Cricetulus griseus: one gene and its partner. The protein of the gene in region 1 interacts with the protein of each later gene in a biochemical or structural test. Links are inferred from orthologs where the notes say so. Each region holds a gene or a part of one and is shown on either strand. Other genes may lie near its edges.

What was found.
Region 2: the proteins of myoblast determination protein 1 (region 1) and Csrp3 form a complex in vitro, tested with the Homo sapiens proteins (2 studies listed by BioGRID and IntAct, with this or other methods). The link is inferred for Cricetulus griseus from reciprocal best matches to the Homo sapiens genes MYOD1 and CSRP3.

The regions. Positions count from the first base shown.
Region 1 is NC_048599.1:155,322,080-155,325,802, reverse strand, and holds myoblast determination protein 1, read right to left. Parts: upstream 2,406-3,723; coding exon 1,779-2,405; intron 1,331-1,778; coding exon 1,252-1,330; intron 937-1,251; coding exon 683-936; downstream 1-682. UniProt on the Homo sapiens protein: Acts as a transcriptional activator that promotes transcription of muscle-specific target genes and plays a role in muscle differentiation. Together with MYF5 and MYOG, co-occupies muscle-specific gene promoter core region during myogenesis.
Region 2 is NC_048596.1:145,855,612-145,860,092, reverse strand, and holds the start of Csrp3 (cysteine and glycine-rich protein 3), read left to right. Parts: upstream 1-1,416; 5' UTR 1,417-1,529; intron 1,530-4,481. UniProt on the Homo sapiens protein: Positive regulator of myogenesis. Acts as a cofactor for myogenic bHLH transcription factors such as MYOD1, and probably MYOG and MYF6.

The DNA of each region.
Region 1 (3,723 bases):
TAGCTTCTTTATTTCCAACACCTGAGTGAGTGAGCCCCAAGGCTTGCCCACCAGAGGAATAAACAAAGTTCTTGTTTCACTACACAGCATGCCTCAGAGATAAATACAGCCCAGGGGGCTCTGGCTCTGGCCAAGCAACTCTTATTTACACGAATAGATTACAAAAAGTCTTATATAAAAAAAATAAGTGGTCCTGAACCGCGCTTGGGACAGGGGAAGGTGGGGTATGGTTACACCTGTTACACACGGGACTGGAGCGGCTTTCCCGCAGGCTGTGGGAAAGAGCATATATTAGGGGGCCTCCGGAAAATGGGGATCATGTCTCCACAAACAACAGGGACCTGGAGAGCAGGGCCTAGGTGTACCGGGCTCAGCCCTGCTCGAGGAGCTGCGAGAAAGGAAGAAACCCTGGCGGTTAGGGGCAGCAAGTGGCTGTCTTTTGTGAGTCACATGAAAAAAATAAAATAAAACAACGACAACAAATGGACTGCGTCCTTTCCTTGGGGACCGCTGTGGGGACAGATTTCTGCTCCCCCTTTTCCAGCCTCTGGATGTGTGGCTTTGAAAGGACAGTTGGGAGGAGTGTCATTTAAGCTTCATTTTTGGGGGTGTGAAGGACCTCCCACCCCCCACTCCCCCGAGGCGTGTAGGCGGTATGCCCTCTCCTACAGCAGCTGACCTCTCAAAGCATCTGATAGGTCGGATTGGCGTTCGCGACTACAGGGCACTGCAGGGAGGCATCAGGGGACGACGGGGTCTGGGCCCCCTGTTCTGTGTCGCTTGGGGATGCACCTTCTGGAGGACCTGGAGGAGATTCTGGAGATGCATCTGCCAGCAGCAGAGCAGGAGCAGCGGGGCTGTCCGTGGAGATGCGCTCCACGATGCTGGATAGGCAGTCGAGGCTCGACACGGCTGCACTCTTCCTTGGCCTGGACTCTATAGGGGGAGGGGAAGGTTAGTATTCCAAGCTTGAGTCTCTTCAAGTCTCTTACACTCTCTCCCCACTCCATCAGAACACAGAGCTTTGGAGCAGAAGAGAAACTGAGGACTTGCCAGACTGAACGGAGAAAGAAGAGGAAGGTGCACACTGTTTAACCCCTAACCAGCCCCCTTCGTAGTCCCAAGATACAAGTGTGTTTGTGATGGAGGCAGGGAGGGGGGTACTGAGCCTGGGGAGCAAGGACAGCTTCAAGGGGGACATGGAAGGCAATTCCCAGCTGCTAGCTGGGAACAGCTGAGAATACGCACCACCGCTGGAGGCCTCGCTGTAGTAGGTGGCGTCGTAGCCATTCTGCCCCCGGGGGCCTCTCGGGGGGCCAGTGTAATCCATCTGCGAATAGCAAGAATGATGGAGTCAGATCCTCGGGGCGTCTCAAGCACTGCTCCTTGTCACCGCCCCTCCCTCACTCCCCTAGTCTCAGCTGGGGGCGTTCCAGGACTGGGTCAGCCCTAGTTAGGAAGTAGGAGCCAGCAAACATTGAAATATATCGCATGCAGGGCCAAACTGAGACTGGATGGTGACCCAGGAACAACAACAACAAATCTACATTTGGGTGATACGGATTTGGGGAGAAAACGTATGTCCTGTGGTCTGCATAGCAGTATTTTGATGCCACCCCCACTAGGCAAATCACAGATGCCCAGGGTCTCCAGAGACCCCAGTCACATGCCAGGCACACCTGGGTCTAAAGAACTTCCCCAACCCTAACGGACTCAAAAGCATTCCAGATTCCCCAGGTGCCACCTGCACTTGGCCTTCTTCTGAGACCCGGCCTTACCATGCCATCTGAGCAGTTGGAGCGTGGGCTGGAAGCGTCTGAGTCGCCGCTGTAGTGCTCACTGCCTCGGCCTGGGGGCAGCGGGCCGGGCGAGTAGAAGGCAGCCGCGCCAGGGGGTGCTGCGTCCTGGTCGCGCAGCAGAGCCTGCAGGCCTTCAATGTAGCGGATGGCATTGCGCAGGATCTCCACCTTGGGCAGCCGTTGGTTCGGGTTGCTGGACGTGCAGCGTTTGAGCGTCTCGAAGGCCTCGTTCACTTTGCTCAGGCGGCGCCGCTCGCGCATGGTGGCGGCCTTGCGGCGATCAGCGTTGGTGGTCTTGCGCTTGCATGCTTTGCAGGCCCACAGCAAGCAGCGACCAGCCTGGTGGTGCCCACTGGGTGCGCGCACATGCTCATCCTCGCGAGCACCTGAGCCTGGGTGCACCGTGGTAGGGAAGTGTGTGTGCTCCTCCGGTTTCAGGAGGGTCCCCACGTGCACCAGGCGCGGGTCCAGGTCCTCGAAAAAGCGCAGGTCCGGTGAGTCGAAACACGGGTCATCATAGAAGTCGTCGGCTGTGGCAAAGGAGCAGAGAGAGCCGTCGGGGCCTGTCAAGTCTACGTCCCGGAGTGGCGGCGACAATAACTCCATATCCCAGCTCCTGGGCTTCTCGGTCCTGCCTCTAGCTCAACTCAAGTCTCAAGAGTCACTTTCTGCCACTCCTGAACTCCGACAGTACAATGACAAAGTGCTGAGGATTGGACTGCACACAGGCTGTCCTCTACCTCCCCTCCCTGGTCTGTCGGAGTTGTGGCGAAGAAAGCAATCGTCCTGGGACTTCCTCGCCCCAAGCTTCGCGCCAGGCGTCCAGGACTATTTATCCAGGGTAGCCTAAAAAGCCCGGGAGCTGGAAAGGGAGGCTGGGGGCGGGGGTGTCCTAAACCAATAGGAGTGCAGCAGGGCGGAGCGTGGGGTCCCCAGGGTAGCCACTGGGGCCAGGGAGTGCCCCCTCCCGCGGCTCTGCGGTGGGGCAGGGAGGAGGGCAGACACTGGCGGGCAAACACCCTCCGCCCTCCTTTGCACTTGGTTACCAGATGCAGCCTGCCCAAGCCTCTCCAGTGCGCCTCCGCGAAGCCACAGCGCTGACCTTGGACCTCACTGTCTCCTGATTTGTGGGGAAACCAGGCACAGAATAGGAATTAGAAATCAGATTGCGGGAGATTTGTAGAGAGTCACAAGGCAACAGGGCAAAGAACCTCCAGAGAAGAAGCCGCGAAATGGTGACACATCCTTAGAAGTTGAGCCGAAGACGACGTGAGCAAGAGACAGTGAGACTCCAAAGGTTTAAGTGGGCAAGCCTGAGACAAATGACTTGGTGGCAGTGATATTTGGCTGATTGCGGATCTGGACACCGCCCAGAGAGCGCCTGGTCTTGCCCATCTTCCTCAGGAAGCTTAGGAACCCGGTTCAGTCTCTGCGGTAGTTGGGAGATCAGCATTAAAACTTCAAGCCATTCTACTCAAAATCAGGGTGGACGGAGGGAGGAAACGAGCGAAGAAGGAAGGGAGAGAGGCTCCACTCAACTTAACCAGCTGGATTCCTTCTGTGGATATCTAGAGAGCCACAGGGGTCTGGGTTGATCTGTTTCTACAGCTAAGACGAAAGCCAGTTTGCTGCAATTTTGTGTCCTCTTGTTCTGAGTCGAGCCCCAGGAAGTGCCTTTCTTAAGTGTCATGATGGCCAGGACCTGGCCTGAGGACCTCACCAACAGTGCAGTTTGCATAACTTTGTGGAGGTGACCTCTTCCCAAGTCTGTTTCCACTTCATATCCAGGGATAATGACAGTATCCAGGAGTAACTGTGGTCGTGGTTGAAAATCTAAAGGGAGGGGAGTGTGGAAATGTCAGGGGAGGTGCACGGCTATGCTGGCAAGAGAGCTTGCTTCTGTCTCCAACACCTGCTTGCACTG
Region 2 (4,481 bases), on another chromosome or scaffold:
TGTGGTACTGTATTTGGAGATAGGGATTTCAAAGAAGAAACTAATACAATAGAACTGGTATCCTTATAAGAAAATACGGGATCACACATACACCAAAGGAAGATTCCAGGAAGACACAACAAGACTCACTTACATGCCACCAAGTGTGGCTTCAGAGAAACCAGTCCTGTGGAATCATCACGTGCAACACTTTGTCACAGCTTAGACCCTTTCAGTTATGTAAGAATTTAGTTAAGTCATTGCAGACTCTCTCTCACGACTATATTCTCATGCCTGACTTTAAAGTGAAACTTTAGAAAGTACACAAGAAGCAGTGTGGAGCTCCAGTTTTATTGACTTTATGTGTTGATGTCCCATTTAACATTAACTACATTAAATATTGGTGTCAAAGCACACAAAAAATTGGTATACTTGTTTTGTTTTTTGTTTTGTTTGTTTTTTGAGACAGAGTCTCATGCAGTCCATGCTTGCTTTGAACTTCTTATGTGGCTGAGAATGATCACTTCTAATGCTCTAGCTTCTACCTCCCAGATGCTGAAATTACAGGAATGCATCAATACTGCTGATTTATATTAGTTGAAGACTGAACATACACACACACACACACACACACACACACACACACACGCACGCACGCACGCACGCACGCACGCACGCACGCACACACGAACGCACGCACACACAGCTTTAAAAGCTGCTATCCTACCAGAATCCTTAAGATCCTTTGCTTTATAGGGCAGTCATCATTGTCTTATTTCTCAGATAAACAAGCTGTGCTGTTTTCCATGATAACACGGATCAAGCATATTTCACTTAAAGCCATGCTATGCCCATCCTTGTGAAATTACAACAAGCCCTATTCTAAACCATGAAATAGTTTACTAATCAAGACTTGAGACTCAAAACTTCTGAGAAAACTTTTCTTCCTTGGATAAACAGGCCTCTGATGATTAGCTGATCTCAACCCCACCTCCCCTGCAAGCCTCCTGGAGGAGATTAGCTAAGAGTGTGCCAGACCCCCATCACTCTTATTTTTAGCTCTGAGTTCTCCTCACAAGTACGGTGACCTGGGTCTTGGAATTCCAGAGGGCTCCCAGGCCTGGCTCATGATTCATTTGCAGGTACCCTGCACTGATTTGCAGAACAGGCAGGGTGTGGGGGAGGGGCTGCAGAAATGATTTTAAACATAAAACCCTTTACTCTTCTTCCAAGTCTTTGGTCAGAAACTGTACACTTCACAAATGCATCCCTTGCTGCCTTAGGCAAATGGCAATTAAAATAGAACCCAACTAATATTGTTCTCCAGGAGGCTCCCGGCTGCCGTGGGGTGGGGGGGCTGGGGAACACAACTAAGGGCTTTGGTCATGGGCTATTTTTGGCAGTTGTGTTACTCATGTCTTATTCACCCCCTCCCCTCAGCCTCCCCTCTGCCCTTCCCTCAGCAAGCCAAGGCTGGTGACAGCCTCAATATATTTAAAGAGGACAAGAGTCCCCTTACTCAGTTGAGCCGACAGAGACCACACAGGCAGGTAAGTGGATTAAACAGGCATTTGGGCCAGGATGACTGACTGACTGGGTGGCCGATGGGACTATATAGAGTTCTACAGAGTGGAGGTATATTTTACAACCAAATCCCAGCACCTACTCTGACTACATATGAGGAGGGTCCATATACTTGATCCACTTGTAGACATAGCAGTTATTTCAAATTCCCTAAAAGCATAACTAATATCGGAGGGTTTAGGGAGTGTGTATGAAAGTCTGGGTTTGATTTCCTGGTATCCTAAAAACAAAAAAAGTTAAGAATTCAAGGGAACCTCTCAAACAGAGCAGCGGGCATGGAATTACTCTGGGTCTAAAGCCACTGTCATAGAGGGGTGTCCCAGTCCTTTGGGTCAGATGGCAGGAAAGCAGAGGAAAAGGGGGTTCAACAGACCTACATGGCAGCCTCTGAACTGCCATTAAGAAGCAGCTGGGTGGCTCTAAGGAAGTCCCTCCCTTAGGGTCTTGGTCTCTTATCATCCAAGGGTTTGATACAAATATAGTGACTTGTTTCTAAACTCTAAAGAACTACACAATTACAAAGCAGCTACCATAGATCCAATAGCACAGAAGAGAGCCCTTCCCAGCTCAAATCATGAAGCTTTGTTACTCACAAGGTGTGGGTGGATGAATGAGATTCCAGGATTCTTGCTTTCAAATAGATACACACCAAAGATGTTCAGTGACAGGCATGCTTTTGGCCATTTAAAATGAATCAAAATTTGTCTTAAAAAAAGAAAGACACTGTGATGCTGAAAGTCAATAAAAGCTCTTACTTAATGGGTGATTAAGTGGCAACGTGATACCTAGTGTTTCCCACAGGTTTCAGTCAAGGATTTTTCTTTAATATCCAGTGAATGAGAAGAGGCTTTAAGCAATGGCCTGGGTGGAAACGCTGTGCAGATCAAAGCTGCTACTTCTAATTTCTGTTCCGGTCTTTAGTCTGGGTGGTGAACCCTCCATAGAGGAGCTAGGTGGCCATTGGAGGGGCTTGTTTAACTGTAGTGTGGTGTGATGTCAGTTAATAGTTTGTGTAAACTGTCTCCTGTCTCAGATTGGGGCAGATGAAGGCACAAGCCACGAAAAAGGGTAGGGGAATGTGGGCAGTCTGTGTTCTCAGTTTACTTTGGGGACTGGGTGTCAAGGGAAACGATATAAGATGAACATGCTATGCTGTTTTCTAAAAAGAAAGATCAGGGATATCTCATGTGAACCAATGCTATGGCCATCTGTATGCAATTACCTCACCTCTCTCAACTATAACATGCTTCATCATTCAGCCAGTTCATTGCAATGTGTATGGAGCTGTTTTATGTCCCAGAACACATGGAGATTTTCCTGATTTGGCTTTGGTTCATTTCTGAACAACCCTCTCATTTGTGCTCAGTGTCAGCATAGCCACTGTTAGGAGGAGCTGTAGCTAAGCCAGGGCTTGGTGTCTGCTCCCAGGCTGGGCTGACAGGTGCTCTGTAGCTTGGACATACAAAATATCTGTGAGGGGCAAGAGAACATATGAGACAGAGGCTGGATGGGGTGAGAGGCAGCATGGGGACAGGGTAAGAGGAGCAAGCAGGAACACCCAACAGGCGAACCACAAGAGCCTCACCCAGAAAGTGGAGACAGAACCATGGTAGATGCAAATCCTTAACTCAAGGGAACAATGAGAAGCAAAGCCAAGAAAACAGAGTCAAAGGTTCAAATTATAGCTCAGAGTATCCCTTAGCTTCCCAGTCTTCACTTTGGGAAGAGTAAAATGCAAGGGTACCACCTAGCTCTAGGGGATGTGTGTGGACTGAATAAGATACAGGGAAGTACTTCACAAACTTAACAGGACTGCATGAATAAATGAAGCCTTTCAGAAAGGGTTCAGGGCCTTCTCAGGGATAGGAAAGATGTCCTGTGAAGTACAAGATGATGACAAAGGTCCAGCAGTCAGTGTGGCTAACAAGCTAGCCAGAAGCAGAAAGGTGATTGACGTGTTTGTTAAGAGGAAGGATATAGCCTAGGAAATACAACTCCAGGCAGGCTGCCTTCCAAGCACCAGCATGCTGCCCAGATGTCTGGGAGCACTTACCGTATAGAGGGCTAGGAGTCATGGCCAAAGAGAAACATGGCACTGCCTAGGTGAAAACTGAGTGTCCCTCCCAGGGAGGGAGGCAGAGAGGGATGCAGGGATCCAGGGGCTGTGACGTAAGGAGACTATACAGAGCTCCACTCTGTATAGGTATGGGTACAGGGATCAGCATCTGATGCTGCTTACCTGTTTTCTTGCCATCTCAGAGTAAGTGTGGGCTTCTTTAGAGTCACAGAAAGTCCTGGAAAAGTCATTCTTTAGGGGAACAAACTAAAGTTCAAGGGACTGTAGCAGCCACACAGGGTCACATGGCCAGAGAGCATTGGAATCAGGATGTGATCAGGGTGCAATGTGGCCTTTAAAGCACAAAGGTCAAAGCAGAACCAAGAATGGCTTCCAAGAGTAGAAGTCAGTCACACTACAGAGATAATTTCAGTGAAGGGTCACTGTGATTGTGTGTTAGTTGGTCTGACCACATGTCCACCATACCTGAGAGCCAATGTTTCTGGTTATTTCTAAGCTTCCCAGGTTTTGTGACAGGTGGTGGTGGAGAGACTTCATATATACACCTGGTCTGTAACATCCTGAGGAAGCTATCCTCTGACCTTGACTCCTATTCTAGGAGTGAAAAGGGTGTGCCTCCCTTCGGCCACAAGGACTCTGTGTGGGCCTGCTTCTCTCCACCTCCCCTCAGCCACAGGGACCTTGTGGCGTGCTTCCATCCAAAGCCCCAGTGATTGGCAAGGCAAGCTCAGTGAGAACTTCGGAGAGGCAGGATGGGCATGAGGCCTTGATCAATGGTACAGGCTGCCTGAGATGGAAACAGGGCCCTGTGCTGGCCACATATGGGTGGCAAACTCTGAGA